Mytilus edulis: one gene and its partner. The protein of the gene in region 1 interacts with the protein of each later gene in a pairwise test. Links are inferred from orthologs where the notes say so. Each region holds a gene or a part of one and is shown in the gene's direction. Other genes may lie near its edges.

Region 1 (17,373 bases):
TGTTCCATTTACTCTTCAAAGTTTGTATTAGGTTTTGGATTATTAACTATGTTACCATCCCCGAAGAGACCTCAGTTGTCCAAACACACATCAAGTGCAATAAAGTTGGTATTTTGTAAAGTTATTATGTGCATGTATGTCTCTTATCAAGTTTCTAAAAGATCTCCCCAAGAATTAGAAGTTTATGCTTTTGCTTGTTCACCTGTACCAAACAGTATTTGAGTATGGAAATTGAATGATTAATACTACACGTTCAAGCGTCAATTGTCTGGGCACTTCAAGGAAGGGATGTTTGTCAGTGGAAAAGTCCTGTACAGATTTAACAAAAAAGTTATGGATACTCATTTAAGTTGTAGAGAAAACAACAAATCAGTCATATATTTAATCTCTGTTTATTATTTCAATAAATAAATAAATAATAAGTCTTGATTCTAGCACCAAAGTTTTCTACAATTCACTGTCTTCCTTGTGGCTTGACTCGGTCTATAGTCCATGGCATTCTGATTGGTTTGGCTCCATTCAGTTTCATGTGATTGCACTGTATAAACTGGATTACCTCCCTTTTGTGTCACCTCATGTCCTCTTTCACTAAGAAATAAAGGTCAGCAAAGAACACGATGGTACCAAGTACTAATCCAGACATCAATTGCTGAAATACAAAACAGATAATGGACGTACTGGTGTAGGAATTCAAGAACCTACCTAGACCTCAACACATTTTGTTTTTGTTAAAAGACTATTTACACTTGTATGCAAATTTATTTGCCATTACATAAAATCACACAGGTTTCCGTAAACTTTGACATCACAATTTATAACATTTGACGTTACAATTAGAAAGTCATTGTTGCTCGACGTCAGAAGGTTATTCAGAGTAGATCAAAGGTCATTCAGAGGCAAAATACAGCTAAATACCAAAAGTGTAAACACGTTTATTGCTATCTAATTGATGAATACACTAAATCTTATTTTATCTAAAGCTTATGTCTACAACTATTTAAAACTAAATCAAGTGTTTTTAAAAATATTTTGTTTGCATTCTTAGCTGTTTAACAGATGACTTCATATACTGCATTTCAACAGATATAATTAGACTGAGAAAAACTACCTTTCAAAATATGTCTGTTTGTATAACAGATGACTTCAGGTACTGTATTCCAAAAGATATACGGTAATTAGACAGAGAATAACTTTCCTTTAAAATATCAAAATGTCTGTAGCATTCTGGTTAACTTACCAAAGGGAAAGAATCTTGTCCAGAATCAGCAAAGGCATACTTTGTAGCCATGTATCCAAACACAAAAGCCCCGCCCACTGTCAATACAAAGTTAAACACTCCTATCATCTGATTGTTCAGTGTTTTCACTGAAAAATAAACATAATGCAGAATTAATGGTGTTTTAATTTTTGTACGAATAACCCTATAGATAGATGAATTTGAAAGATTTAAAATATTTCAGACAAAAGTCATATTTGTTTTAAATGAAAGTATTGTGTATGAGTTTCATAAAATTTGGATGTAACAAATGTAAGTTTGGATGCGGAATCTAAAATAAAATAGCAATTTTCCAAGTTATAAAAGGGCCTGACTCTAGAACCTTAAGTTATTTACTACCTAAATTTGAACTCTGAGAGTTTTGGTTCTTAGCAATGTGTATGTGTTTCATTAATTTTGTATGAGGCAATCTAAAGTTAGCATGCGGAAATGAAAATGGGTGAGATGGAAGGCCTTTTTTTAAATTACAGATTGTTCAACTTTATATAAGTAAAACAAGATGTTGTAACAGCGAATACATTTAGGGACACAAATAACTAAAATATATCTAGAGGTCGTCATATGGTCTTCAACAATATGGAGCGTTTTAAAGTCATTATAGTATGTATATATTTTATTTTTCTAAAATTTCTGTTTTGGTAACTTTTGCTATGCTAAACAAAGAAGTTTTTTCATAAGGGGAGATAACTTACATTCTTTTCCTATTGAACCTGGTTCATGAACCTGAAAATAAAAGGTTTATATTGATCATTAGTCTAATTTGAATGAATACATATTATATAGTATTATGTTTCTCGTGTAACAAACTACATGTGTGTTTTGTGTTAGGGCATCAGGAAAGACCTTAGATACAAGTTTTATCTAATGAAGTAATTCAGACACAGAACTACTCACTAAATTCAATATGAATCAATGAACCATGAAAATGAGGTCAAGATCATAAGAATCCAGTCAATATGAATCAATGAACCATGAGAATGAGGTCAAGATTATAAGTATCCAGTAAGAGTGACATGTACACCAATTATATTCTAATTAAAATAACTGTAGCTGAGATAACTAAACCTAAAGCTTACTTCATCTTATATCAATATAAATGCCTTTTCACCTTGAAATGAGGCCAAGGACAACTCAAATGTGCCAGATGGACATCACAGATCAACAGTCAAAAATGGATTGCCTTGAATAACTACAATACGATAGATATCTTAAGCTTTTAATTTAAATGGTCCACCTAAGTATCATAATGCCAGTATCACTGATTAAACTTTGTAGTCCCAGGTACATAAATGATCTTTATTACTTGTACAAGAAGTAGTAATAATGAAAGTTTTCTATTGGGAATCATTTCAATTTGTGTTATCTTAAACTATACAAAGATTATAATAACATAAAAAGAAAATATGGTATGATTAACAATGAGACAACCCTTCAGAAAAGACCCCAAAACGTCTGTTTTAGCACTATAATAACTATAGTTTACCTTGAATGTTCCAACATTTTTTGTCATCTTTTTGTAGTCTTTGTTTTCTTGTTGTGTCTTCAGTTTCTTAATTCTAGCTTCTAGTTCTGGATTCTAAAAACAAAAACTTGTGTGAAATGATCTTTTGGTATAAAATTACTAAGATTTTGTTCATTTCATGCATAACATTTGTTTCAGTGAAAATATTGTATTTCCTAGTCAATTACATTAATAAACTGACATTTCCCTCGTGAAAAAAATCCTTTACATTCACTCCTCTGGTGCGATATAGAACAGAAGATGAAGTTATAAACAAAACAAGAACATGCAGAACAAGATATAAGTTCCTTAAATTTCTGAGGAAGGTTAAAGTTTAAAAATATAATAAGTAACTTACTCTTGTAGGTGGAATGTATTCCTTTAAAATAAGGTCGCTGTTTTCTAAGAGTTCATTTAAATATAAACTGCATTTTTCTGAAAAGGAAGAATTGTTTTATCATTAAATGTTACTTATTTGAAAAATTCATCAACTGAAAAATTACAGTATTATTTTCGTATGGTTGATAATGAAACATATACACTTAAGCTGTGTTTTTGTCTTCGACAGTAACGTGATCATTGACACCATCAATTGACATGTCACATTAGGTGGTAACAGCAGTCACTTTTCAAATGTTATAAATAATATCTTGCTCAAATCTTTCAAAGTCACGAGGATGGGGCTCCCATAATTTGGCCACAAATTGTCAAATAGGTCATCCAGCATGTCTATAACACATATCCTATTAACATCCAGCATGTCTATAACACATATCCTATTAACATCCAGCATGTCTATAACACATATGCCCTATTAACATCCAACATGTCTATAACACATATATCCTATTAACATCCAGCATGTCTATAACACATATCCTATTAACATCCAGCATGTCTATAACACATATCCTATTAACATCCAGCATGTCTATAACACATATCCTATTAACATCCAGCATGTCTATAACACATATATCCTATTAACATCCAGCATGTCTATAACACATATGTCCTATTAACATCCAGCATGTCTATAACACATATGCCCTATTAACATCCAGCATGTCTATAACACATATGTCTTATTAACATCCAGCATGTCTATAACACATATATCCTATTAACATGATTAAGGTGAACATGAGGGCATCCGCAAAAAATTAAAATTACCTTTTAAATCTTTATCTAAGTAACATCAACTTAAATATATACTAAATATAAATGTAGCTAATAAACAGATTGCATAAACATTCAAAATGTTTCATGTTCTACTGGTTCTACAAACTGAATAGTTTCCAGCGCTACACATTAGCCACCTGCTTGCATAAAATTTCATGAGTTGTCTACCTTACATTAAAATAAAATTGACATTCAGGGGGAGAGGAGTCTACATAGTTTGTTGTAATACATAAATGTTGTTTATTGAAATATAATAAACCAACATTTTGTTATTTAATTTTAAGTACAAAATTAGCCAGAGTCTCTGATATAATTAGAGGCATTCTTAAACTGAGGATGCTTATTCAAAGAAGATGTAGTAGTCTAGCAGATTAATTTTATTTAAAGAATATATACAACTTTTTAATATGTTCAAAATAGTCTCTCATAAGTCAATTTGTTAGGCTGGGTATTGAATCAATACTATAGATTGTTTGAAATACCTAATGTACTGCATATATAAGTTATTGAATAATATCAACCCTGACTGATTACTATAAATTATGATATAACCCAGTATGAAAAGAAATAAAGAAACGAAAACCAGGGAAAGTGTTGGTGCTCACAGGAATTGGGCCGAACCATCCAAATTCTCATTTACTAGTTAGGTCAAACCTAGTCCACATAATTATGACGTCTTGATCGGCTAATAGTAATATAGATTCTTACACTGCAACAAGTGTATTACGATATTTCTCCACTCGAGACAGTTAAATTTTATTATTTAAAGCGCGAGGCTTGCCGAGCTCTTTAAATAATAAAATTTAACTGTCGAGAGTGGAGAAATATCGTAATACACGAGTTATAGTGTCGGAATCTGTTTCTCTAATGCTTTTTATCGTTCTTTTTCAAAGATTTTCAGAAAATTGTGCTCTTTATATGCGACGTCATCAGGCAAGGTCGCCTTTTTTCATGACGTCACAATAGGAAAATTGAGAAGAAAACAAAACATTTTGACGTCATAATCAAATTTCGACTAATCATTTGCCGAGAACAGATTTTTCACTAGTGAGGAGAAATATTTTTCTCACACCGGTCAGGAAATGTGAAAATAGCGCAAAAATTAGAGAATCATATTTTATTGCTTGACACCTTTGTCATGACAGTCGATGTAAGGTGATGTAATAATGCGTCAAAGCACAAAATCATATAAATATTAATAGCCTTTCAAGACGTCATAATTATTTTGACTAGGTCAATTTAAGGCGTTAAAACAAAAAAATATGGCTTTCGCGTCGATCCGGCCCCACGTCGATCCAGCCCCACGTCGATCCGGCCCAAATGTAAAGTCGATCCGGCCCCAATAAAAAAATATATTTATAAGGAATAAAAATAAAGATATAAATTAAAGTAATTCATAAATGTTTATGATTTTTGTTATAATGTTAAAGGTGTACGGTAAAAAAAAAAATTTCTTCAGATGATGTGAAAGACTATCTTAATTAATATGTTTTTATATATTGTCCTCTTGAACACAAGTATGTGTCTGAGGTTATGAATGAAATCTTGAAATCTTGCTAATCCAAATATTCAAAAACAGTTATTTGATATAAAAACTAATTTTGATATTCAATTAATTTTGTAGTGACATAGAAGACCCAGAACTTCCAGATAACGTTGTCGGTAACAGACCAGTAACTCAGGGGCGGATTTAGGCGGGGGCGTGGCGGGCGGGCGCCCCCCTAAAATTTGCAAAGCATGGGTTGACTTCAACATATTTAAGTATCAGAAGAGACCATTCAATCTTTTTTAACATTCAAAGTATATAAAACAGTCAGTTTAACAGAATCAACGTGATTACTAATCAACTGACCTACGCTTTATTAAAGTTCTATAAATAACTTCAAAGGAAGGTGTCAAACGCGGAGCTGCGTTTGACGACAAATATAATAGGTTTTTAGCAGTTAAAGAAAAACAAATGTTACATTGTATTTGCGGTTTTTATAATCAATTTGTTTGATAATCGAAGTTCCAAAACATCCCTTACTCACTTTCACAATTTCATCATGACACGGTCAAGCAAACAGTGAGATTCTTTTATAATATCCCGGCATAATAAAAGATAGAAATACTGTTTCAAGCGAAAGGTTAGTTTATTAATTTGTTTCTTTGTGTCTATATTTATTTCTCACTTGCAAGCTAAATATTTAGCCGAATTCTGTACCATATTACTGTATGATGGGGATCCCAAGAAAATAAATATAACTGCGTAAATGCATCTCATTCTGATTTTAGTTGTGTGTGGCGAACACAGTGAAGTTTGGCACGAGCTCCGAAAATCAAAAAAGTAAAACACAGGTAGTATGAAAGGACAATTAAAAATCGCTGGTAAAAGTAGAAATTTTCATTTGAAAAATATATTGGTCAGGTGAGCAATTGTGATCTGTCTCGTCTCACTTTGCGTCCGTCTGTCCGCCCGTCTATCTGTAGATTGTTGTCAGGTGTGGATTAAGGCGGTTTCAGCTTGAAACTTTAATTTCTCGCTAATTTTACCACACAATAGTTCGAGATATCTACATTTCACCCCTTTAGAAGAATATTTCAATAGTTTTACCTACAAAAAACTCCAAAATTTTTTCGTCTCACTCCGCTCGGCGAAAATAAAACTTTGCGTCTGGAAATCCTGGATCCGCCCCTGGTAACATACCACATAGAAGAGCAGGGTAGTAAGAGAAGATTCAAGAAACTAGTTAGCAGTGACTTTTTGCTTACACAGTCAAGGTAAGTAAATAGTATAATCTAATTCATTGTTAAGAGCGCAAAATAAATAAAAAAAGATAAGGTTTGAGTGCCAATAACTGGGCTTATACTTTTTTTTATATTAATTGAGCATGAAATTGGAGAATAAGTAAGTGACAGTGTAAAACTGTTAGTGTAAATGATTTAAAAGTTATATATATTTATGTGAGTGTCAGAGATAGTTAGTATGTATGATGTTATTGTTATATTTTAGTAGTGCTGATATTATATTTTAGAGTATGAAAACGTGCATTCAGTGTCATTGTTTTGTTATTTTCTTGCAATAAAGAATAATAATTTAATTTTGGATGTAACGCTTCTTCTGATTGGCTGACGTTATTTTGTTATGAGCCCATATACATAATTTAGTCATGTGACCGTGACGTCATCAACGTTTTTTCATGGTTTTCTACGGTTTAAAATGGAATTTAGAATTAAATTATAAGAAATGACTGTAATATTTCTTCTGTCTATTCGAAATAACATAAAAAATGTGGTGCACACTGTTAAATAACCCGCTACGCGCGTTATTCAGTGTGCATCAAATTTTTTATGTTATTTCTTCATTGACAGAAAAAATATTACAGTCATTCCTTAAATGGATACTCATATAACTTGTGTTTTTTCTACACACAACTATTCAAAATACTGTCAAATTTATGAAAAATATATCGATATAGGAAGATGTGGTGTGATTGCCAATGAGAAAACTCTCCATCCAAATAACAGTTTATAAAAGTAAACCATTATAGGTTATTATTATATACACCAAACAAAATATCAATCTATAAAGACCTTGTTGATATTATAAAAAAACAAACAAGTAAATAGAAGCCTGTGATGTTACCTGAAAAAAATACAATTTATAATTATTATATACACCAAATATAATTAAATTTAAGGAAGTAATGAATATGCCAAAACAATCATATTTGAAAAAGCTATGTACATTTATAAGGCATATTAATTCATGTGTGTGTTCTCCTGGCTAAGTTCAACTTATATTTGTAAATAGTGTACATATTATGTTTTCTGTAATTTATAATTGTGCTATTTATTACATGTAACTTCTGTATACCATTGTATTGACGAAGGTTTGTCAGAATTAAAATATATACCAACCTAAACCAGAAGATCAAATAATCAGGATTTGATTTAATTAAGTGATTACAAGTGGCATTACCTTAGTTCACAATCATCAGACAATTGTTGAATAAACAAACCAATTATAGACTCATATGATGAGTTAAATTTAATAGCTTCCAGTGGACTGTAAATATTTATTTAGATATTCTGTGTATGAACAAAAAGAAAATGAAATCGCCATGAGTTAAAGTTAAAGTTATCATGGAAAATATTTTCATATTTTAAAATATGTTGAAGCTGCTATACAACCAACGACACAATAACAATCATTTTCGTATCGATTTAAAATAGTTCTTTAACTGGTACTCCAATACTTCACTTACCTGTTGTCATCCATCATCGGACACTTTTTGCAAATTCCATTTATACTGTGTCACAAATTCCTCCAAGATCAATATAGTTATTTCATATTTTATTATGGGGCCGGATCGACTTGGGGCCGGATTGACTTGGGGCCAGATCGACTTGGGCCGGATCGACTTTGGGCCGGATTGACTTGCGGCCGGATCGGTTTGGGGCCGGAACGACCGGATACCAAAAATATGATAGCCTTTCAAGACCTCATAACAGATACAACAAACAAAGCCCTGAATTTCTACAAAAACAAAGTTTTATCTTTTTCATAACAACTGATCATGTGATGTGTACCTGGTTTTCTGTTTTTATATGCAAAATGAACAAGTTTGAATGGTATTTCGGTGTTCTTTTCATTCTTTATCAAGTATTTTTTTATTTCTTCTATCTCATTTGTTGTGTCAGTGTCCAGTGCTTCTGTTACATCTTGAAGTAACTCTCTGATTCTTTCTGTAACTTTCACTTTTGGTTCCATTCTGTACCGGAAATGAAAAGGGTCAATCTTATTTTTACTTTTAGGGTTATCAGGTTTCTGTAAATGCACATTTATTTATGTGTAAATGCTTACAATGTTTGGTGACTGTTGAATAAATGATTTTATGAAAATTAATAAATGTTAATAACCGGGGAAAATAGCGTTAAACTAAAATTTCTTTAGAAAATTTGTCGCAAATTGGCTTATTCCATTCGTTAGAAAAACGTCAAAGATGGCGGCGCTCATATGGGACATACCAGAGGGAGAAAATCAACAATCTAAGGAACCAGAGGAGCTCTCTGTGTTTGGTTATGCTTGTAAACTATTCAGAGATGACAGGAAAGCCTTCTCCATCGACGAAGGAGAACATCTGATACCATGGATGGGAGATTCCAGTCTGTTGATTGACAGGTCGGTTCTCAAGAAACAGCTGCTTTTACAGGTCTCGATTAGCTCGTATTTCTCGCGACGCGAACGCGTTAATCACGTCATTTTCGTTTCAGGATAATTGTACTTGAATGATCAAATAATTTGTTAACATGAATAATGTATTTAGGAACTATTAATCAACACACAATACAGCAGAAATGAAGAAAGTAATTTCTGACTGACCTTGACCTTATGAATGAAAGGAATGCCCTGCCATATGACAAATGTTGGTGGAAGCTTTTGTCAGTTGATGATATAGACTATAGTAACTGTCATGTAAAATCGGCCCAAGTTTTCTCTCAAAATCTTTATATTGATCTGATATGTTCATTTGATGACTTTTGCCTATCGCAGACTATAATCGGACATCACGTTCGTTTCGGACTTTGTTATTTTACGTATCATACAGGAAAAATCTGCAATGTCGTCACTATGCTAATACCAGCGTACAAAATTAGTGCAGAATATTTGTTTTCTTCTCTTCTAAGTCCCACTTCTAGCTTCCCTTGCTTTGTGTACATTCCATTAATCGTCATCAATCTTAGTAACAGACAAAACAGGCCCAAATAAATAATATAATTGCTTTTAGTAGATTTATACTAAAAAAAAATCACCTAATTGACCATAGAGCAATTTGATTGGGTATAATGATTCAATGCGTCACCTGGTTTTTTTTTACCATTTCAATTTGAATGTAAACAAACAGGGTCAGTAGCTTTAGTATGGAACAACATAGAGTGCACTATTAAAGGTCACCAAGCGCCTTTTTATGAAACTAATATACATTGCTTATTACCACAAAACACTGATCAAGTTTGAATTTTGGTGGCATCACTTTTTCTGTTCTAGAGTTATGCCCCTACATGTATATGTCCCATGGACACATTCCCTGTTTTTTAGGACTTTTAGATTTGGCCTTGTGAAAAAAACTTCACCTTAAATGAATACTATTGATAGTCATGATAGTAGCCAGGTGCCAATTTTACATGACAGTGACTAGTATATAAATATATAAAGTCCTTTGAATTTATTGTCTTTATTGTTTTTGAGCAATATTGATATTTGGTAATTAAGAACAAAACTATGTATATGTTGTGTTTGCAGAATGTTTAATTTCAGATTGCCTTGCAGTGACGTTATAACACAGAGAGTAACACACTGTTGGTAATTATACAAAAGTGTTGATTTAACAGGATAAGTATTGGTTTATGTGATTATTGGTCACATTTTCTACAATTATGAGTCATCTTAAAGTCCCAGAATTAAACAACTGGTCCAATCTCTGCCACACAATACAATTACACACACTGACACAGTAAAAAAATAAAGAGTAATTCTATTTTCTGACATAGATCATAAAAACATATTTAACCTAAACATTCAACAGATGCATTTATCTTTATATATAACCATGATAACTGAGAATGTTATTGAAACAATCCTGTTGATAGAACTTAATCAGAAATTTTGAAATAATTCATATTGGTGAGGAAAGGTAAAGATGAAGCAGGTCCAGATAGAAACAAAGACTTGAAAACACATATTTGCTGCTTCTGTGCTTATCGCACAACATGTAGGAGTAAGTTCAGAGTCAGAATAACTTGTCTGAGTAGACATGTGACAGTTAAATTGTATTCATGCAAACTGTTACCTTTTAGATTTAAACTAGCATGTTGAAAATAAAGCTCATCCTGTGAATCTAGTACATACATGTAGAAGGTTTCATTATTCATATATCACATTAACAATGATTAACGTTTCTTGTCTTGAATATGCATTTAACTTGTGGCTAGGCCTAAAAAAACATCTGTCATTATCATCTTAGCCAACAATTTAAGAAAATTGGTTACATGCATCATTACACTATATATAGCTATAATAAGAGATTCTCTTTGTTTATAAACATCATCAACATGGTAAATCCAACTTCAAAATTAAAAATTATTTTTTTGAATTATTAAATTTAGTATTTATTGTCATGATTGTAAACATGGTAAAATAGTAACTTTAGACATTGAAAAAACATATAACAGTCATGTCAGTAATTTATGATATTGTTTGTTAGAATCTTTTTGCAAAACATGTCTGAAGAAAAGTTCTGACAAGATTTTATTATATTGTATAATCAGTTGTAAAATAAGGATATGTTTGTTTCCTAAACCTACTGTTTATAAATAATGTAATAATCGGGACCTACTAAAAAAGATTGTATAATGTATCATAACTCAGGTTACCAATGGTTACATGGAAACAAACATATTTTTATAATAATTTAAAATATCTGACTGATCTTCATGTTTAGCATAGTGACAAATTTTAATCTAATTTAAGGTGATTTGAAAAAATTGTTCGTTAAAGAATGTGTATATAAATATTTATAATAGAAGCTTTCCCAAATGTGCATGAATTTGCTGAATTCAAAGTCTTTTTGGTTAAATTTTAGAATTTTTTTTGTAAAAATTATTGAAAAATGTTTTTGATCTAACCTTCTAACTGGTAGTGTCTGTTGAATTTATTCAATTGTCCAATGTTCAAGGTCATGACCCTTGGGTACATTTTGTTGTTTGCTGATGTATTTGTATTACAATCTAATTATTATTTGTAAACAATTCGTTCAACTTAGAATGACTATAAAAACTATAAAGTGATACATGTAGGTCACCAAAGTTTTCAATAGGAAACATGTTGTGTTGTATCATGTTAGTGTTCTCCCATCAAATTTGATAAATCATCCTGTTGAACAAATTAATTTAAAATTCCATGACTGCATCTTGTTTCTAAAAGTTAAAGTACACTGTATCACATCCTTAAGATAGTAATACACACTCAAGAAAATTAAAATCATATTACTGATTACCATGAGTCCATGACGATAAATAACCTTTAGGAGAACACTACATGATGTGACGGTACATATGTTTAGAATTCCGTTTTATTTTTGTTTTAAATGCAATTAGTTTTAATTTAAAACTATATGCAACTCAAATCACCTTAAAAGTAGATTAAAATTATCTTCAGTATGACCACACACTATACCATATACATGTGTACATATAGATATAAAAATATAGGAACAATTTATGACAAACGAAAACAACACCATATAAGTTTCATGAGTCTCCAACACTTTTCTGAATTTACCTTCATCAGTAACACTTGTAGCTGAGTCTTCAACACTTTTCTGAATTTACCTTCATCAGTAACACTTGTAGCTGAGTCTTCAACACTTTTCTGAATTTACCTTCATCAGTAACACTTGTAGCTGAATATTTGAAAGTCGAGGATGGACAAGAACCGAAATAGTGAGAAGCTATTTAAAAAAAAATAAGCTTGTGAGGCCTCTTTTCAGATTTTTTTTTACTGTGTAAGTCATGTGGTAAATCATGATAACTGATATTATATCTACTGCTTTGTAACTTGAGAAAACAGTTACTTTCCTAATTTAAACAAAAATGATAGAAAGGAATGAAAATCTGAATATTTTAGCCATATTTTGTACAAATGTACACATATGTGTAACCTTGAGGCTTCCTCTGAAAAACTTCTTAAGCATACCTTTTAGATGACCTCAGTTCTTTGAAAGCATGAACATGTGTTTGGTTTTTGCATATTTTTGCAATGCTATGATGTATATATGTATGTTGGTGGTCATATTGAAGAGAATAGTATTCTTAAATTTTACTGGTTATCATTTTATGATCACATTATAAATGTATGTATTTATTCTGTACCTTCAGATATGATGGACGAGGTCATCTGTTTGACCTTTCAAAATACGATGCCAGTCATGTTAAGAGGGCGGAGCTATCCGAGGAAGATAAACAGATGGAAGCTTGGTGTGACGAGGAAAGATACCTAGAACTCAAAAATGATCTAGCAGAAAAAAAGATGTACGAAGGTAGGAATTCTGTTTGATATTTGTATAAGTAAAAAGATGTATGAAGGTAGGAATTCTGTTTAATATTTGTATAGGTAAAAAGATGTACGAAGGTAGGAATTCTGTTTAATGTTTGTATAGGTAAAAGGTGTACGAAGGTAGGAATTCTGTTTAATATTTGTATAGGTAAAAAGATGTACGAAGGTAGGAATTCTGTTTAATATTTGTATAGGTAAAAAGATGTACGAAGGTAGGAATTCTGTTTAATATTTGTATAGGTAAAAAGATGTACGAAGGTAGGAATTCTGTTTAATATTTGTATAGGTAAAAAGATGTACGAATGTAGGAATTCTGTTTAATATTTGTATAGGTAAAAAGATGTACGAAGGTAGGAATTCTGTTTAATATTTGTATAGGTAAAAAGATGTACGGAGGTAGGAATTCTGTTTAATATTTGTATAGGTAAAAAGATGTACGAAGGTAGGAATTCTGTTTAATATTTGTACAGGTAAAAAATATATATTTCTCTTGTATGACGTCAATGATCTATGTTCTTTCTGGTCTTTTAATTCCTCGACAGAAATATTAAAAAATGATTGGAAACACTTATCTTGTCAATTTTACTCCACATTGAAACATACTGATCAGTCAACATGCTGCTTGAAAAACTTAAAAATGTTTGTGCATACAAAAATGTTGCATCTTTAGGAAAATGACCCAAAAAATCAATCAAATGTCCTTTTTCACAACCAAAAACTTGAAAAAGTTAGGATCAGGCTTCAATTATATTCATACATTATTTTATGTGGATTATCTAGGTTCAAGTGAAGCATGACATGGAATTTTAAATCACAAATTTTCGTTAAGCTTAACTGCAGATGACAAAATCAGAAAATCGAGTATCTATGTAACTGTAAGTTTCCTCGGGTCATGAAAAATGAAGTAATCCACAGGGCAAGTTAAAAACTTCATATATTACATTTTTATTTCAAAATGTGCATGGTGCTCTCAATCAGTAAAAAAAAACAAAATAAAATTGTTTTCACATGTTTAAGCAATTAAAATAATATTTTGTAAAATGTTCTTGATATATGTGTATATATACTGTGTCATGCATATATTTTTGTGTGTGTAGAGGAAGAATGGAAGAGATATTATCAGTCTCTATCAGAGGGTTTCAATGCTGTGGGATTTAGCTACGATCACCAACATCACCAAGATTACATGGAAACACAAGTACAAGGTAGGTTAGATCATTTGTAGTGAGTACAATATCTCATACAGTCTTCTTCCAATTGCATGAATTAGGTGCTCCGGCTTCCTTAAAAAAAACAAGAATTGACCGCCACACAATAGCACAATAGTGCTGAAAGTGGCTTTAAACATCAACCAATCAATCCATCTTCCATCACATGACAGTGAGACTTTGATGAAAACACGATGTGGAAAATTTGATAATCAGATGATACTGTGTCCAATCTGACCTCATGTTCTAGCTATAGGCCTTTTTAATATCTCTGTCATATTGTGGAAATTTTTGTCCTTTCCAACACAGATAGATGTCAATGGCAGTCTTCACAAGAAAACAATTGCTCAAACATCAACTCTCTCTGCCGATTAAACAAATCTCTTATTTTAAAAGCTGACCTTAACAAATAAACCAGGATTTCTACAATTAGTTTTCACTAACTTATAACTACGTGTAACTTTATAAAACTTTCTGACAAAAATGATCACAAACACAATATTACCACAGATGGTAAAACTTTTGGTCAAGTGAGTCACAATGTGTACAAACAATGTGCCAAAACTATCGAAATTAGGAGAAAAGATTGTTTTAAAACTTAGAACTTCTTTAATTATATAAATGTAATTTATTGTTATTTTTTATCAACAGAACCAGAGCCTATTTTTATAGTACCAGAAGATTTACAAGTCCCTTCAGAAATGGAAGTCGTAAGTTACATCTAGGGTTATTTCATTTAAATGTATGTCAGAAAATATCATAGGACATTGAAAATTCCCATATTTCTTAGCGTTATTCTTAATTTATATTTGTGACATAAATCCATAATTAATAACCCACACTGCATGTTCAAACATGACATTCCTGTGCCTACCCTCAAACATTCACTTAATGGAACAGCCCTTACTGAATATGAAACTTATTCAAGTGTTTTTATTTGAAATCAAACATCAAACTTATTTTTATCACCATTTTCTTAAATGTTGCTTTGAATTTTTTTGGTGATAATTTTCATATCATGTTTCTCTACTGAGTATGGTTGTCTCAGTCGAGTAGATAAAAATGATGATTTCATAAGCCTATGTCATTAACATTGCCTATAAACACAGTGATCAACAGAACATTGCCTATAAACACAGTGATCAACAGAATATCAAATATTTTTCACACTTTTTTGTTTCTCAGCTACATTTCATTGAAGGGCTGAATAATTGTCTCGTTTACACATACATCACATCTCCTTTTATGTTAAATCAAAACTAAAGACCAATAAATGGTCACGACACCAAAGAAATAGCATAAATTGGAGTAAGGTTGACAATGTAATAAAACAAGATCTTGTATAATGCCTTCATGATTAAATATAACTTCTAATTTTAGCCTGAATCAGAAAAACAACATGCGTTTATAGAAAAGACGGCCAAGTTTATTGCTGGTCATGGCATGCAAATGGAGATTATAATAAAGACCAAACAAGCCAAGAATTCACAGTTTGATTTTCTTCATTTTGAGGATCCGTTAAATCAGTATTATAAACATATGGTCAACATGATTAAATCTGGGAAATATAAACCTAAAGAGATTAAAGAGGATGATGATGATAACAGAGGTTAGTATGGTCTGTTATAACAATGTTAAATCAGTATTATAAACATATGGTTAACATGATTAAATCTGGGAAATATAAACCTAAAGAGATAAAAGAGGATGATGATGATAACAAAGGTTAGTATGGTCTGTTCCAGCAATGCCAAATGTTTATTCTATTGGGGGGCCAAAATACCCCAATACAATAAAAAACCATTCACCAATTCTATGTATTTTATCATATTCTGATAAACAATGTAGGTTACAATCCAGGACAGATTAAACCAACGATAATTAGTATTTGCTGCTTCTTCTGTAAAAGAGTAAGAACAAAGACTGTTTGGAGTCAGAATAATGTGTCTGAATATGGTGACATGTCGTCCTGCAGTCTGTTACCTTGTGAGGTAGCATGTTGAAAATACAGATAAGCGTATCGGTCTAGTACAAATCAGGGTTTATAGTCATATCTGACACAATTATTGTGTTCATTTCCTGAATATGCATTTTACATGTTTAATTTGCCAGTGTCAGTGAATGTTACACTGCTTTGTACATTAGGAACGATATTAATATGTTTTTACATCAAAAAGTTGGTACTAAATTATTATTAGATATTTTCATAAACATGTGAAATGAAATCATAAATATGAGGGGCAATTACTTAACTTTGTGACCTTGCCATATGTTTTGTTTGAAATAAACAGATAAATAACTGCATGAATTAACCACTAAAACAGCATTCAGTGTGAATAACTGAGTGATTTTAAATTGACTTTGAACTATATTAATTATATTTGTTGCATGATAATTCTCTTTATTTAAGATGATGATGCTCCACATAGTCAGCACGGATATTTACATCCCAGTTTAGTGCAGACACACACGACCAAGCCTAACTTAGCACCCGCTGTCAAGATGCCAGCTGTATCCATACATGATACACCGTATGGTAAACTGCTCAAACATCTGAAAAAATCTACTCCTGACTCGGATAGAAACAGGTTAGTACTGAGTCAGCTATATCTATACATGGTACACCGTATGGTAAACTACTCAAACATCTGAAAAAATCTACTCCTGACTCAGATAGAAACAGGTTAGTTCTGAGTCAGTTATATCTATACTTGATACACCGTATGGTAAACTACTCAAACATCTGTAAAAATCTACTCCTGACTCGGATAGAAACAGGTTAGTTCTGAGTCAGTTATATCTATACTTGATACACCGTATGGTAAACTACTCAAACATCTGTAAAAATCTACTCCTGACTCGGATAGAAACAGGTTAGTACTGAGTCAGCTATATCTATACATGATACACCGTATGGTAAACTACTCAAACATCTGTAAAAATCTACTCCTGACTCGGATAGAAACAGGTTAGTACTGAGTCAGCTATATCTATACATGATACACCGTATGGTAAACTACTCAAACATCTGTAAAAATCTACTCCTGACTCGGATAGAAACAGGTTAGTACTGAGTCAGCTATATCTATACATGATACACCGTATGGTA
Region 2 (17,658 bases), on another chromosome or scaffold:
AAAGTACTTCAAATAAGGGTATTGTCTCTTTTAATTCAGTGGTGACAAGTTATTGTTAATTTTTTGAATGATTGCTCTGTTTTTTCATAATTTACTGTTTTGTTACTTATTTCCATCATACCTAATTTAATTATTTCACATGTTGCCCCAGAAATGAGAGTTGTCCTTTTATTTTTTATTGTCATGTGGAAAAAGGGATTCAGTTTATTTCTTGTTGTAGACAAATTTTCCTTTTGACATTTCACTTGTGTTGTTTGTTTCTTTTGTCTTGTTTACATGAAATTTCATTTGTATAAAACATTAAACCATGTGTATTTAAAATTAATTTGAAATTGTTTTTGATAAAATTTGTCTAAAAAAAAGACATTCAGTTTAGTAAGTTTAAATGTAATATGTTTTTTTGTATTGTTCATTTGTGAAATGAACATGAAATGAATTTGTCTACAACAACAGAATGTTAATTTCAATCTGAAGTTGTCTCCCATGCAGATATTGCAAGGGAGATAATTATGAATATTATCTCCCTTTCTTTATATAAGGTCAAAGTTGAGATGACTGGTTGAAGATTTATAATTTGATTCTGGTGCGTGTCATATCATAGAATACTTTTATATGTAAAGGTAGATGAACTAGCTGTGGTTCATGTCTACCTATTGCCAAGTCAAATATGAAACATTTAATAAAGTTCACTCTTGTTTTTTATGGCCAAACTTGAACTTGATGAATAGTCCTAAAAAAATATCTGACTGTAATAAAAGGTACACGGTAATGTTGAGAATTCAAATGAGAAAAACCATGAAAAAAGGTATGAATTTCTTGTAGTACTATTAAGCTGTGAAAATAGTACACATGGTCATTATGAATTGATGCAAACTTTTATTAGATGTGCCAACTAAGGATATTGCCAATTTAGCCCAGATTTAGTGATCGATGAGCATGGAAAGTATAATTAGATGTGAAGAACTTGTCTAGTTAATGTGGGTTTTGTGAATATAAGATCATGAAGTTGAATGCTTTCTTCACATAAATTGAACTGTAGGGCACGAAATGTCCAACTGTTAATATTATCCTTTAACCTTAATGAGACATTTTAGTCGGACCAGACTAAAACAGTTTACAGCAGATATCAGCTAGTAAAATCTGAAAAGAGGATCGACAAATGGGATCATTGGTTGTTAGCATTTGCAATACAACAGTTACCTATTAGCAGGCTATCAACAGACTTGAGAACATTGATATGGGTCTTCGACAAGCAATGTCCATGAAATTTCCAAACATGTGCTATAGAAGCAAAGATTGTATAAATTTTTATATTACCACAAAAACAAATTTTGCGTTGTATATTGGTATCACATCGTCCGCATCTTCCGAAGACTCTCAGTTTCCAAACAATAACTTAAGTTTAAGTTATGGGATCTCTATGAAATTTAAACACAAGGTTTGAAACCACAGATGGAAGTTTAAGATTGAATATGGGGGTTATGGTTCCAACAGTTTAGGAAATAAGGACCTTAAAAGGGGTCCAAATAAGGATTTTTCTAGTTTCCAGACAATAACTTGTGTGTAAGTGTATGGATCTCTGAAATTGTACCACAAGGTTCCATACCAAAAAAGGAAGGTTAGGATTGATTTTCGGGGCTATGGCCCTAACTGTTGAGGAATATACTTTGAATAAATTGCTTATTTCATGACCAATTTCAATGGGGTTTTATTCTTGAACTCTTGGGGTTCTTTAATATGCTGAATCTAACCATGTATTTAGTTTATAGATCTTGGAACAAAAAAGGTTAATGTCCAATTTAAAAAATTTAAGTTCTTGGACCACACATTGTGTTAGAAACCTATGCTGTGTCATATTTAATCACAATCCAAATTCAGAGCTGTATCAAGCTTGAATGTTATGTCCATACTTGCTCCAACTGTTCATGGTTCGACCATTGTGGTCTATCAAGCAGCACCCTGCAGAGCATTTTATGTCGGCAATGTTCCTGCAGAAACAGATCTGAGGTCACATTGCAGATATACTGAACAACAGAGCAGTCAATTTTCGAGAAAAAAAGATAAAAGTACATATATTCTTGCAGTAAGCTTTTAATTGATTTACCAGACAAGTTTATTATACGACCTTAAAATAAATTTTTGCCTTGTATAATGGTATCATGTTGTCGGAGGAGGACGCATTTGATCTCTATAAATTTTTACCAGAAGGTTAAAGACCACTAAAGGAAGGTTGGGATTGCTTTTGGGGGTTATGGACTGAATAGTTCAGGAATTGGGGGCCTAAAAGGGCCCAAAATAAGCATTTTTGTAGTTTTCAAACAATAACTTGTGTATAAGTGTCTGAATCTCTCTACAAGTTTCCATACCATGAAGGGATGGTTAGTTATAACTTTGGGGGTTATGGCTCAAAATGTTTTGGAAATCGGGGCTAAATAGGGGGAATAAGGGGCAAAAAAAGGGAGGGAAATAGGTTTTCTGGACAATTACTTTAGATTTAGTGAATGGATCTCCATAAATTTTTAAAAGAAGGTTGATTTTGGGGGTTCTTGTTCCAATAGTTTAGGAATTAGGGGCCAAAATGGGGGCCCAAAATAAGCATTTTTGTATTTTTTAAACAATAACTTGTGTTTAAGTGTATGAATCTCTCTGAAATTATACCACAAGTTTCCATACCAAAAAAGGATGTTTAGTTATGACTGAGGGGTTATGGCTCAAAATGTTTTAGACAAGGGGGGGAAACTAGGTTTTTCTGGTTAATGGACAATTAAGACAATTTAAAAGCAGTGTAAGGGAGGTAATTTCAAAAACAGTTAACATTCAATGTTGGGTATGTTCAGATTTACCTCCCTTACACTACTTGTAAATTATGTATAAAGAAATGTCAAGGGGGCGGTAGTAATTTTCAATTTTTTTCCCTAAATTTTTGAAAAGTTTGAAGAAAAAATCTTTAATTGCACAATATTGCATAATAGATTTGTAAGATCTTGACATTTGTTTTGTGTCAGAAACTCATATTATGTCAAGAATTTGATCACAATCCAAATTCAGAGTTGTACTTGCATCAAGCTTGAATGTTTTGTCCATACTTGCCCCAACTGTTAAGGTTTTGATATCTGTGGTCGTATAAAGCTGTGCCCTGCACCTGGTTCCATGTTATTTTTGTAGCAATTTAAAAGTTCATTGCAGCTAATGATTAAGAAAATATTCAAACAAATGGATTTCTTTTTATACAAAAAATAATGTGTGGTATGCATGCCAATAGAGACGAAAATGATGTAGTAGCTAGCAACTTTGGGTCACTGTACAGTCTGCAACAATGAGAAAAAACAATACTGCATGGCAAGAAATAAAAAAAAATGAAATGACAATCATAAGGGAGCTAGGATGTTATTTGAAAAAAAGGCAGAACATGAGTTTTGAGTGTATGTAAAAAGTCGGGACAGAGATTTCAACTTAAAAAGGCTGGATAAAAAATTTCATCATAGCACCCAAAATAAATCAAATAGTATCTACCTGAAACAATTCGAATGAGAAAACGGTTTACCCACTATTATGTTGTCTTGCAGTCTCATAGCTATGAACTGGAAAGAAGAATATGTTTAAATTATAGTTTTCTGGTTTTTACTGGCATTGACTGGAACTATGGAAGGTGTTGCAAGGTGGGTTTTTTTATTTTATTTTTGAGGGGTTTAAAATATTAAAAAGTATCAAATTTAGGATTTGTAAACGTTCGATCACATTTCGATGTGCCTAATTAACACCAACCTGACACAATGAACAACTTCGTGAACGCTAAATTGTTCTCATAATGTCATAATATTGACACATGACTCAATCTTTCCAATGAAAATAAATATTAGAGTAGTCTCGCGTGAGTCTTGCATTTTTCTAAAATAAAAATAGCTGAAGTGAAATAATTGAAAATGATGCAATAATTTTTGCCAGTATAGGAGAGATTTTGGGAAGTTTTGTATTTATTTTCAAATGAAAATGTTGTTGAAAAGTGCATTTACAATGCCTCCCTAGAAAATTATTTGTCTAGATTTTATTAAAAAAAAAATCTACATCCTTTTCATTCTTTTCAAAATCATGCAATTGAAAATCCCCGTGTACTTGATATTCATTTGGAAAAATCTCCATCTTTGTGTAATGGAATAAAAGTTTTAGAGTAACACTATCACCCGAGTAAAAATATGAAAATGAGATCAGAAAAACTGTGTGACTAGCTACACAGTTGGGTGGATTACAGCTCGAACGATACGCTAATTTTAATGCACTAGATGCGTATTACAACGTCTTTTTCAAAGATAATTGGAGACCAAATTATTTTAAAAAACCAACACCAATACAAACGACGAAGAGGAAATCAAATCGAAAGGGACCTAACAAGTATCGCCAAAACCGAACAAGGAATCAGCTTTGCATTAGGTAGAATTATTCCTTTTTAGTTTCCCAAATTCATGACCGTAAATATGATTTAAGCAATATCCGTATTTTACTGCAAGTACCAATGTAATCGGCGAACACAGCAAACATACATGAAATATTTGCAACTGGACGTTTAGCAAACAGCAATCTGAAGTGTCGCATAACCTTGACTTGCTAATCATCCATGTTCCCTGTAAATGTACGCGTGCTTAATATGGTTTCATCCACTTCATTTTAACTTTGGTGGATAGTTGTCTCATTGGCGATCATACCACATCTCCATATTTTCATAAAAATGGTCAACCCTATCAATATTGGATTGGTTGGAATTAGTACGTGCTCATCTTGTGGACAGAGTCTTCTCCTTATGTATATAAATGCTCAAATCACCGGGTATTGTACCAAAATTTTACTGTTTGCTAATCAAAGTCCTATGATAAGATTATTTTAAGATGCTTAAATAAAACCCGAGACATATACATCTGCATATATGTCTATGTATATAAAGATGGACTTTTTCGGTGATATAGCTATAGTAAAGGAAAAAAGTTCTTTACTGATTAAATAAATTCATAAGGGGTTCCGCTGCTGATTAAATAAATTCGTAAGGGTTCGTGGAACCCAGTTTCTCGCCTACTATTGCTGTAAGTCGCAGGCTCAACAAAAATGAGGAAAAAAATCAATAAAAATATTTCTCTTGATACTATCTTTTGATTGTAAGAAGCTTCTGTCCAAGTTTGGTAAAAATCCAGATTAGTTTATGAATCTAATAAATGTTTTAAAAACTTTAACTGCAGACTGTATGTAATGTTAATTGGAAGAAAAGTGCATTTATAAGTGAAATGCATGCCGATACACAGGAACACAATTTTGACAAAATTTCCTTTTAGATTCTAGCATTTGATCATAAATAAGCTTCTGTCCAAGTTTGGTACAAATTAAAAATAGTATAAGAAAGTTATTAAAATTTTAAAAACTTTTAACCACAGAGTGAATGTAATGTTTCCCCGCATAAAAACTTAAATTGAGAAAGGAAATGGGGAATGTGTCAAAGCGATAACAACCCGACCATATAGCAGACAACAGCCGAAGGCCACCAATGGGTCTTCAATGTAGCGAGAATTCCCGCACCCGTAGGTGTCCTTCAGCTGGCCGCTAAAATATGTATACTAGTACAGTGATAATGGACGTCATACTAAACTCCGAATTATAAACAAAAGACTAAAATTAAAAATCATACAAGACCAACAAAGGTCAGAGGCTCCTGACTTGGGACAGGCACAAAATTGCGGCGGGGTTAAACATGTTTATGAGATCTCTATATATATAGCCAATTAAGAAAAGTAAACGCATAACTAAGTCCATTTATATGTAAAATACGGAAAAAAATGGAATTTTATTTTTACAAAATTTACTTTTGGATACTACCTTATGATCATAAAAAAGCTTCTGTCAGTGTTTGGTAGAAATCCAGTATGGTTTAAGAAAGTTATTAAAACTTTAAAAAAAACTTTAACCACAGAGTGAATATTTGTGGACGCCGACGACGTCGACGGAATGTAGGATCGCTATGTCTCGCTTTTTCGACTAAAGTCGAAGGGTCGACAAATAGGAACATTATAAAAGAAAAATTCGTGAGGGTTCCGCGGAACCCAGTGTCTCGCCTACTCTTTCTGTTAATCGCAAGCTCAACAAAAATGAGGAAACAAATCAATAAAATATTCCTGTTGATACTATCTTTTGATTGTAAGAAGCTTCTGTCCAAGTTTGGTAAAAATCCAGGATAGTTTATGTAATAAATGTTTAAAAAATTTAACTGTACACTGAATGTAATGTTAACTAGAAGAAAACAAAATTTACTTCTGGATACTATCTTATGATCATAAACAATCTTCTGTCCAAGTTTGGTACCAACCCAGGATAGTTTAAGAAAGTTATTAAAATTTTAAAAACTTTAACCACAGAGTGAATGTAATATTTCCAGGCAGTCCATTTATAAGTAAAATACGGAAAAAATGGAATTTTATTTTTACAAAATTTACTTCTGGATATTATCTTTTGATCATAAACAAGCTTCTGTCCTAGTTTGGTAGAAATCCAGGATCGTTTGAGAAAGTTATTCAAATTTCAAAAACTTTAACCACAGAGGGAATATTTGTGGACGCCGCCGACGACGACACCGAGGACGACGGAATGTAGGATCGCTTAGTCTCGCTTTTTCGACTAAAGTCGAAGGCTCGACAAAAATGAATTTCATCCTCAACATCATCAGAATAACATCTGTCGCAATTATTACTTCATAAAGCACATTTGGATCAATATATCGCCAAGTTTCATCTTAAAACTTGCGATTACTTATTCTGAACTTTGAATATTGTTTTCTTTTTTTTCATACACATAAAAACAATATAATATTGTATAAAAATACAAATAAATTTTATAATCGGAGTTTAAATATCGCTATCCAGCCACAAATGACTTGTAATAATTGAAGAAAAGGATTTTCTTTTTCTTTTTTTTCAAGTTAAAAGGGGGGGGGGTCATTGTTTGATCATGCAGATGAGATTCAGCGTAAATTATCTTATCTTTCCTTTAAGACCTAGAAATAAGAAGTGTTATGATTGCCAATAAGTCAACTCTCCACCATATGACATAAATAAACAAGTGCAAATCACCATACGCGGCCTTCATAAATGAACAAAACCCATACCGCATAATAGTTAGCTATATATAAATGACCCCAAAATGAAAAATATAAAACAATTTAAATGAGAAATCTTACGGTTTGATTTATGTACGCAATCTAGTTACTTGGGATGATCAATGGCTATATTCACAGATGTATTTTGTATCCCATTTTTATTCGGGGGAAAACCTAATAAGCATGATAAGTTAAAGGTTATATGTTTTATACTACGCCGAGTTCACATTAATATTCTATTTCATATAATTTTTTTTTAGTAAATTATAATTTCTATAATCAATGATATTTCATCATATTTCAAATACACCAATTTGCTCAGTCCTATCAATATGAAAAAAATATTTAAATATTAAACGAAATCTATTTTTACTAAAAAAATACGTTACTTTTGGATACTCCAAACTGCATCAATATGTGATGAGCTTTCTCAATCCGCTACTATTTAAATTTACTGTAATAAAGGTTGACAAAGCTTGCGGATTCTTATGATCTTTTAATTCAAATACACTTTAATTAAAAGGATGTGTATACTTTACAATTGATATCAGTTTCTTTTTTTCTAATCAGACCCCCTCCCCCCAATAAAAAACCAACATATTCTACACTAGGCATTATATAGACGAGTAAGGCTAGTACTAACCTTACCTCAAGTGGTTAACTCTGATTCGCCATGATTTTCTATCAATGGACCACTAGACGTTTTACAGCACTCAATCTTCATCATTTCAGTAAAAAAAAAAACGGGGAAAAAAATAAATCTTTTTTTTTTAGAAAACAGTATACTTTGACATGAAATTATCGCCAAACACCTATTTAATTTACCTCTTGCAAATATTAAGACCAGTTTTTTAATCAGATTCCACAAATTACTTAAGTTGTTGATATTCACCAAAAAATACACTGTAAAACAACGAATGATCAATGTAAATAAAACCACGTGTGTCGTCTACTCGCTACAACAGAAGTACTAAGCGTGCCACTACATATATCACTACTCCAAATCCATATATTCAAATATCTTTTTAATTAAGGCATGACATAGGTTGAAACTTTCTGGTAATTTTCAAACTGCATTATTGATATAAATAATTTAAAAGAATAACAATAATATATGTGTTTATACTAATTCTCAATATAGTTCCCTAGCGTCACACGTAGCAACTAAAACCAAGCGCGACCGTATCGCCACCCTTGGCAACTTCTCTAACTTAACCGACACACAACTGAACCTTCACTTGACAACTGTCCACCACGAGAGAAGGAGCGTATTAGTGTGCTGTCCAGGAGGACTAAGAACTTAGAAAATTTTCACTATTATAGACAATAACAATGTTCAAGAATACATTTCAGAGTGGGTTCTTATCCATACTTTACAGTATTGGAAGTAAACCGTTACAAATTTGGGACAAAAAGGTAAGTTATTTTCATTCTATACACCGGTTATCATTACCATAGTGATACATTGATGTCAACATGAAAACCTTCAACTTCATCTAATAATAACATGACAGTATGCATAACTTGCTTCACAATTAGTTTAATATTATATGGTGTCATCACCAGATTTCTATTTCGAAAAATTAAGGCATTTGACAAGCAAGAAACTTTTGTTTTTGTTGACACACGGAAGTGCACGTGTAAACAACTTACAAGTGTTTGAATGTTATATGTTATACACAAATATTTTAATTTTATACACTACCATCGAGATTTATGATGACGGAAGTGTACAATTATTAATTTTTCGGAAGTAATGTCACTTTTAGTAGCCATATGTGATGTTGATGTTTATGAAGATGGAGATGTTCGTCATCTCGCTTCATTGAATTCTATGTCATTATTTTCATTCAATTGCACATTATAGAACATTTTATTAGAAAAACACTACTAGTTAACGATAAATAAAGTATGTTATATAATTTTGCATGGAGTTAGACCTCCGTTGCCAAGATAGTATTTTGTTTCCTGATCATCAACATCATGGCCGCCATTTGCATTCTAATAGACAATATTATAACATCATGTTATTATCGTTGTAGGTTAGAAATGGTCATATTAAACGTATAACAGACAACGATATCCAGTCCTTAGTTTTAGAAATTGTTGGTACAAATGTCAGGTATGTACTTAATCAACCATAAACAAATATTTCTTTGTTTTGAAAAAGAGATAATTTTGAATTATCTCCCTTAAGTAACATCTATGGTAACACATAATCAAACACAAATATACATGCATTTGGTTATTTAATGAGACAAATATAGCTAACTTTCATTTAATGCAATTTTAATTATTCTTATTTATGCAAAACATTACATATTCAATATAATTAGTTGAATACTGCATCCTATATTATTTTAAACATCTTTATTATGTCAAGTGACATGTGCAAGTTTTTAAAGTGATTCTGTAACACATTAGTACTTTGAAAATATTTTCTTTAAAATGTTAATCTTTTAAATATTTTCTATGCTACAAGTGTTAAAATTATTTGTTCTTACAACATAACAAGTTTGAATTGTTTTTCTACTTAAATAAATGCACATTTTATGTTAAATCTTGTATGTTTATTGACTGAATTTTAAAATTAATTATTGAAAGAACATACTTTTTATTTCTAGTAACAAATGTACCGGTATGAATAATATTTTGATATTTCCCTTTTCTATTTATAGCACAACATACATCACATGTCCAGCAGACCCAAAGAAAACATTAGGAATTAAACTTCCATTCTTAGTTATGATCATCAAAAACTTAAAGAAATATTTCACATTTGAAGTACAGGTAAGAATGTAGCAATTATATTTTTAATTTAAAGTCGACCTAAAAATGTTAGTTATGCAATTCTATCACTAAGCATGAAATGTGAATATGTTAAATGAAGAAACTTATCTTTACAAAAAAAAACATGTTACTTTAAAAGAACCCATTGGATTTCTGTTCAGAAATATAAATAAATAAACACACAAATGTGCATAATTCTTCAAATGTTTTTTTTACTATTTCTGTTGCAATTTAGTATAAATAAGTGACGAGTCAATAGACAATGACTTAACCATGATGGTCTTAAGTCCTTTTATAACATTTCTTTCTGTAATATTTTAGGTCTTAGATGACAAAAATGTGAGACGAAGATTCAGAGCTAGTAACTACCAAAGTACAACACGTGTAAAACCATTTATATGTACTATGCCAATGAGGTTAGATGATGGATGGAATCAAATTCAATTCAACTTGTCAGATTTCACAAGGAGAGCCTATGGAACAAATTACATTGAAACACTTAGAGTACAGGTTAGTATTGATTAACTTGTCAATGTATAAATCAGGTTAAATTGTCACAATCTTATGTTTAAGGTTAAGGTCTTGGGAATTATGGTAAAATAAGGAAATATATTGTACCACACAAACAAATAGTTACTTTATTTTACAAGAACAAAAAAGAAATTGGTCCTTTTCAGGAAATAGTGTAAAAAAGAATTGAGAGATGGTAGCCTTTCAACAATTTTATAACAAACTTTTGATGTACAGTTTTGCATTTTTTAATACCCATTTATTACAGTGATATTTTGATTTATTGTTTCTATTTCTTTTTTCAGATTCATGCCAATTGTCGAATTCGTAGAGTTTACTTCTCAGACAGACTTTATTCAGAAGATGAATTACCCGCAGAATTTAAATTATACCTTCCGGTGCAAAATAAAGGAGGCGTGAAAGCATAACAAAATGACTAATTAGACAGTGTATATAAATTATACGAAAAATAAAAATGTTCAAATGCTACTCAAGAACTGAAGGTGAATTATTGCGAGAATGTTGGATATTAAGAGATGCTGCCTGTTTTTACAAATGTCTTGCAAAAATGTTGTACGAGAGACCAATCAAACATGGCTGATTCCTGCCTAGAGTCTCGTTGAATATGCCATGATCATATACGAAACAAAGTGTTCATTTTAAATTGTCATTGATGTCATATTTCATATATCTCTTGTTGCATGAACAGTTATTTTCATATTTATAGGAAGACTCGGTGCAATTATACAGCCAGATTTAAAAATTGTTTATTAATTTTGCATAAATGATTTGATATTATTGTCTTTCTGGAACAAAATGACATTTAGTGCTTTAAAAACAATGTTTTCAAATTTTATACTGTGTTTATATTCCACACATATAGTACTTATTGATATGCAGATAATAATGTAAAGTTTAAATTTGGTTGTATTTGCCTGTAGATCTCCATATCTCCCGTAATTCTCAGGATATTTTTAAAACACAAATTGCATCTAGCATTTGAATAGAATACAAAATAAAGAAGATTTAATTCCATTTTAAGTTGGGATTTATTGCAATATTTTATTTTATATATATTTCGAAGTTGTCTTTTCCTGACTTGTTTTGTTAGTGGATAAATTTTCAAATTTTTTCCTGTTATTGTCTTTGTTAAACAATGTTCTTGCATTTTAAAAATTATTTGTACATAACTTCCATAGCAAAAAATAAATGTATATTAAAAATTAGCAGATGAACAGATATTCTCTTTCAAAGTAATATATTCTGCCAAAAGAATCCATATCACCTGTAGAAAGTGAAGCTGCTTGTTTGATTGTGCTAGCTTAATGTCCAGTGGCAAATATTGCTCTCATATTCAAGACATTGGAAAACCACCTACTGACCCTTCAAAGTGTTGTAACATGAGATATTAAACATGAAGTGATGCTGAGTAAGGTACTTCCTACAAAAAGCATTTTTAACCCCGTTTAACCCTGCCGCATTTTTGCGCCTGTCCCAAGTCGGGAGCCTCTGGCCTTTGTTACTCTTGTATTATTTTAATTTTAGTTTCTTGTGTACAATTTGGAAATTAGTATGGCGTTCATTATCACTGAACTAGTATATATTTGTTTAGGGGCCAGTTGAAGGACGTCTCCGGGTGCGTGAATTTCTCGCTACATTGAAGACCTGTTGGTGACCTTCTGCTGTTGTTTTTTTCTATGGTCGGGTTGTTGTCTCTTTGGCATATTCCCCATTTCCATTCTCAATTTTATTGGATGCAAAATCCTAATTTTAAACGAAATGAAATGAGGTTCCATACAGTTAAATGAACATCCCTTCTGTAGTTTTTTCAGTTAGACTGAACCTGTGAAATTTGTTAACCCTTGTATTAAAATAGGAATTAATTTCTTGGTGTTCTGCAAGCAGTTACTTTTGATAGTTTGTTGGTGTTTGACTAAATGTGAACCTCATAAAACAATCACAATCAAATACACAAATAAATTACTTCAGATATGGTGTTTTATTCCAGGATTTTGAACAAAGAAATCATATTTAACACTTAAACACCTGAATGAAGTTTTCCCCATCAACATTACAGATAAAATGTGTTTCCCCCCCCCCCCCCCCCCCCCCGGAAATATATAGGTTAGTAAGACAAGAAACTAACACAACAAAAGATTAACTGACATAAGAGCATTATCATAGAGGCTTCAATTTAACTAATTGAATAAAATTGAGAATGGAAATGGGGAATATGTCAGAGAGACAACAACCTGACCATAGATCTGAGTACAACAGAAGATCACCAATAGGTCTTCTATGCAGTGAGAAACTCCTGCAGCCAGAGGCATCCTTCAGGCTTAACCACTGACCTTGTATGATTCTCCAAAAGAAGTCCACTACAAAATTGTTAAAGTTTGTTTGTTCTGCATTTGATGGCTTTCATAAAGTTTTGTGTTGTCCCTCTTGTCAGATGCAGTTACAAGTGAAGGCTAGAAAAGTATCCAGGTTCTTCACAAAAGACTGACTAGACATGTGCACAGAAAATCAGATTACCTGGATTCCGTTTAGGAAATTGATCACTTGATGGTTATCTTTAATCGATTTATTTTTTTTAAATTCAGACTATTGTCATCAGTCTTAAAAGAGAGCAACACAAGGTGTGTGTCTTTTAAAAAAAATATCCCCAAAACGCACCTGTCAGACTTGTCCTCATGCATTAAACAGTTCAAGCATTCCATCGTCCTAAGCGTTACAAATGTAATTGATTTGGCAGTCAACCCATGCAAGTGGTCGATGAATTCTTGGTCTGGGTTTGCTAACTTCTCAAGAGGAGACTTATCCCATGTTGCTTATCAAACCTCATCTTAGTTTGCTCCATCAAAGAACCACTAGACTCGCCTTAACGCATTTAAGATAATTAAAATAAAGATAAAAAAGAACAGTGTCCATCATTCTTGTTTTATGTGAATAATATACATTTGTACCATTAACAGTGTCTCATGTGAAGACGGAACCATTTGCATGTTGAATCGATAATTGTCTTTCAAACACAGAAGGAGTCTCGGTGGCCAAGTAGTCCAAGAAGTACTACCACCACCGTAATCACTAGCCAGTCAACACTGAGTGAGTTCAAATCCCGCTCGTGTAGGTACACTCGACTCCAATCTTGATTGCCTAGGATTGCCAGTTTTCCTATGGAAGGTCGATGGTTTTCTTCGGGCACTCCGGCTTCCTCCACAAACAAAAACTGGCCGCCAGGAAATATCACAAAAGTAGCTTTAAATACCAACAATCTAATGCGGAAATTTGATTCAGTAAAAAGTTGGGTTTATTTTGGGAATTCTCGCCATGACAGCATTATGCGAAACTCAAATAAGACTATCTACGCTAGTCAAGGGTAAAGGTGGGGAGTGATCGTAATCATTGTCTAGCGAAGATGCAATATATCTGGAAATGTCCCCTTTCTATATTAAACTTCCTAGACATGTGAAATGTTTCTAGATCCATATAGATAAGATGTGACATTGCTGCCTATGAAACAACTCTCCATCCTGTTTACAAGTCACAACTTGTAAAAGTAAACCATTTACAATGCTTATCCAATGACCTTTGGAGTATCACAATAGCAATGGCTCAAACAGTTTACCAAATTGCAGTTAGATTTCTTCTCCAACTAACTGATCAACTGGTAAAATGTTTTAGCAGATTGCTCAAGTGAAATGTTGTTAGTATGAAGTGAGTGCTGTGAAATCAAAAGTTATACTTACCATCCAGATCCAGTTAGTTGATATCTTTGTCATTTGTTTCAAACACAAAAATGACTTACTATAGTATGAGTCACTGAATAAGAAGGTCTAATTTTGACATGCTATTGTGATACCCCAAAGGTCACTGGATAAGCACAGTAATATTGCTCAAACTTTGGCCTCCAACACGGAGGCTTGGCACAAACCGCATGTAGCAAGCTATAATTGGCCACAACAATGACCTCCAACACCGTGGGGCTTGGCTCAAACCGCATGTAGCAAGCTATAATGGCCCCAACAATGACTAGTGTAAAACAAATCCTTGGTTTTAACATGAGAACCAACTTACGTCCTAATCTATATTAAAAACACTAGAAACTCTAATGAACCACATTAACGTTACAAACTATAACCACTGGACAGATGCAAACAAATGCAGCGGGTTGAAACGTTTAATAGGCGCCAACCGTCATACTAACCAGAAACAATAGTTTAACAACACAACAATGAAAGACACACTATAAAACATAAATTGCATTTTTAAAGCAGACGATACAATTATATATATGTATGTAATATATTTTCAATCACATACAAGTATATATAACATCTGTCTAAAGTACTAATGATGCTTTTTTTCCCCAGTAATTGTTGAGACAATACCAAACATGATAACTAAAAAGAAGGCGGAAAGATAAGATGATAAATAATGATTTTTTTCTATTTTTCTAATGGGCATTCTTTCTTTCGTTCACAAATGACAAGTTTTTTCTTTCTATTCTCTATTATATGTTTATAAACATTAAATCATCCAAGTAAATGGCATGTAAATGGCATTGGTGGATCCAAAAGGGGGAGGGGTTCCGGGGGTTGGAAACCCCCTTTTTTGGCCGATCAATGCATTTGAATGGGTGCATAAAGTTGGACCCCCCCTTTTTTAAATGGCTGGATCCGCCCCTGATAATGGAACGTTTAGAAGTTTCGTTTCGTTATCCATGTGTGACATAAGAAAGTCTTGTTTCAGAGCAGACGCATTCCGAGTCATGACAAAACTACTCTTTGTTTATAAATATTCATTTTCAAAATAAATTGCTGTCAATATAATTAATGCAATAATGTAATATGAGTGTTGGAACAATATAGTATATAAGAAAAGTACGGCCAAATCAAGTAAAATTTACTTTACAAATCGTTTGCCAAATCGACTGTGGCCAAACTGATTGTGAGGCCGAAACGACTATGGTCGAACTTGTTCTGTGGTCGAAACGATTGAGGCCGAAACGTCGCGAACGCCTTTGAACTTATTTATTCAGAATTAACCCGAATAATTCAGTCCCTCCCCGTAATCGAGCTCTCCTACTTGCGAGGAGTAAGCGGAATATAACGACTGAATTATTCGGGTTAATTCAGAATGTGAATTAGGAAAACGGACCCGAATATTTATTTTAGGTACACCATCTGTTAGCTTATCCGTAAGTTCCGCCGCTATCAGGCACACCTTAAAGGTAATACAAGAACTCTCATAAATTGGAGGTGGAAACAATCATTGGTTTCAATATTATTTTGTTTCGCAACAGTGAGACATTCAAATGAGATATTGGGTAAAACGAAGACACAATAGTTTCATCTTTTACTACAATCACCACAGACAGACAAACAGATAGAAGGAAAAATACCCAAGTTGTTGGCACAACATAAAACAGCAAAAATTATATATGGCTTCTGTCACAGCTGAACCAGACTCTGATTCCATTCAAGATACAATCATTGATTTAACAAAGAAATTAGATGGGAACAAGTTTGCAAACGATATTATATACCTTTTACAGAACATTAAGAAAACAACAGACGTCAAAGAAACATCAGATAGGTAAAGCCTGAACTGTTCTTGTGATGGGGTCCAAATGGTCCCACCTACTTTTTATCATGCCCCCGCCAAAGCGGAGGGGGAATTTAGTTTACCCGTAATGGTCTGTATGAATGTCTGTACGTCCCAAAATTGATCTCTGTTCTCTAACTTCAGTTTGCCTCAACTAAATGTTTTGAAACTTATACATTATGCTTGTTACCACACAACACAGATCAAGTTTGAATTTTGGTGGTGTCACTTGAACTGTTCTAGAGTTATGCCCCTTTATAAATGAATTGAATTGAATTGAATTGAAAAATTGCAAAATGTTTAGTTTCCGATCTCTAACTTTAGTTTGAATCAAACAGATATTATGAAACTCATACACAATGCTAAAAGAGGGACGAAAGATACCAAAGGGACAGTCAAACTCATAAATCTAAAACAAACTGACAACGCCATGGCTAAAAATGAAAAAGACAAACAGAAAAACAGTAGTACACATGACACATCATAGAAAACTAAAGAATAAACAACACGAACCCCACCAAAAACTAGGGGTGATCTCAGGTGCTCCAGAAGGGTAAGCAGATCCTGCTCCACATGTGGCACCCGTCGTGTTGCTTATGTGATTACAAATCCGGTAAATAGTCTAATTCGGTAGGTCACATTCATGAAAGGGAAGGGGATTGTAGTTACGACGTAAGGAACATATCCGATATCATTTGTGAAACGGTTATTCCATAACGGTCAACCAACTCGTGATGGCGTCCGTAAAATTTACGAAGGGATGATTTCAACTTTACCATTTGGAACTCTTGGTTTAATAGCTTCCTTGTGAGCAGTAACCCTCTATCAAGAAAATCATGATAGGAAATGCAAGCACGGGAATATCGTATCAATTGGGAGATATATACCCCGTATGCAGGTGCTGCTGGAATGTTGCTACTTAGAAATGGAAAGTTCACAATTGGAAAGCTGAAATCATCCCTTTTGTCGTAAAGTTTTGTTTTCAACCGACCCTAAATATCATAAAATACAGACCTAGTTTGAATTTTGGTTGCATCATTAGAACCGTTCTAGTTCTAGAGTTATGCCCCTTTATAATTAGAAAAATTACAACTATTTTAGTTTCCGTTGGCTCAACCAAATGTTATGAAACTTATACAAAATGCTTATTACCATGAAACAAAGATCAAGTTTGATTTATGGTGGCCCAACATTTATCATTGTTGAGTAATGCCTCTTAACAAATAATAAAATGCTGATTTTTTTGGTTTTGGTTCTTTGGTTTAACTTTTTGCCTCAACCAAATGTTATAAAACTTATTGAAATTTGCTTATTTCTTCAAAATACAGATCAAGTTTGAATTTAAGTGGTGTCGCTTCAACTGTTCTAGAGTTATGCTCCTTTACAAGTGGAAAAAAAGGAATCTTATATCTGCTAAAAAATATTAATCTAAAAAATAATTGTTGAAAATATTTTTTTTTAAATTCGAGTTATCTTCCTTTGTCCATAATTGTAGTTGAATAAATTTTAAAAATTAATTTTAACCAACTGCAATTACGGTCAAGGAAGATAGCTCAAATTATAAGAATTAATTTTTAACAATTACATGATCATCAACTACAACCAATGCTTTATACAATACA

Evidence for each region.
Region 2: the proteins of splicing factor, suppressor of white-apricot homolog (region 1) and cilia- and flagella-associated protein 20 interact in binary tests that used the Drosophila melanogaster proteins (3 or more experiments, as listed by UniProt). The link is inferred for Mytilus edulis from reciprocal best matches to the Drosophila melanogaster genes su(w[a]) and Bug22.

Annotation. Positions count from the first base shown.
Region 1 is NC_092349.1:92,200,252-92,217,624, forward strand, and holds the start of splicing factor, suppressor of white-apricot homolog, read left to right. Parts: upstream 1-8,909; 5' UTR 8,910-8,944; coding exon 8,945-9,123; exon of another isoform or gene 9,124-9,154; intron 9,155-10,260; exon of another isoform or gene 10,261-10,305; intron 10,306-12,878; coding exon 12,879-13,039; intron 13,040-14,153; coding exon 14,154-14,261; intron 14,262-14,915; coding exon 14,916-14,974; intron 14,975-15,644; coding exon 15,645-15,873; intron 15,874-16,674; coding exon 16,675-16,852; intron 16,853-17,373. Other genes in the region: transmembrane protein 199-like, read right to left, coding at 569-649, 1,238-1,365, 1,969-1,999, 2,760-2,852, 3,136-3,212, 8,532-8,712. UniProt on the Drosophila melanogaster protein: Regulator of pre-mRNA splicing (and, possibly, of other RNA processing events). Regulates its own expression at the level of RNA processing.
Region 2 is NC_092348.1:4,767,229-4,784,886, forward strand, and holds cilia- and flagella-associated protein 20, read left to right. Parts: upstream 1-8,110; 5' UTR 8,111-8,461; coding exon 8,462-8,545; intron 8,546-9,171; coding exon 9,172-9,251; intron 9,252-9,807; coding exon 9,808-9,919; intron 9,920-10,240; coding exon 10,241-10,429; intron 10,430-10,734; coding exon 10,735-10,857; 3' UTR 10,858-11,655; downstream 11,656-17,658. Other genes in the region: uncharacterized protein, read left to right, coding at 15,873-16,027. UniProt on the Drosophila melanogaster protein: Cilium- and flagellum-specific protein that plays a role in axonemal structure organization and motility. Microtubule inner protein (MIP) part of the dynein-decorated doublet microtubules (DMTs) in cilia axoneme, which is required for motile cilia beating.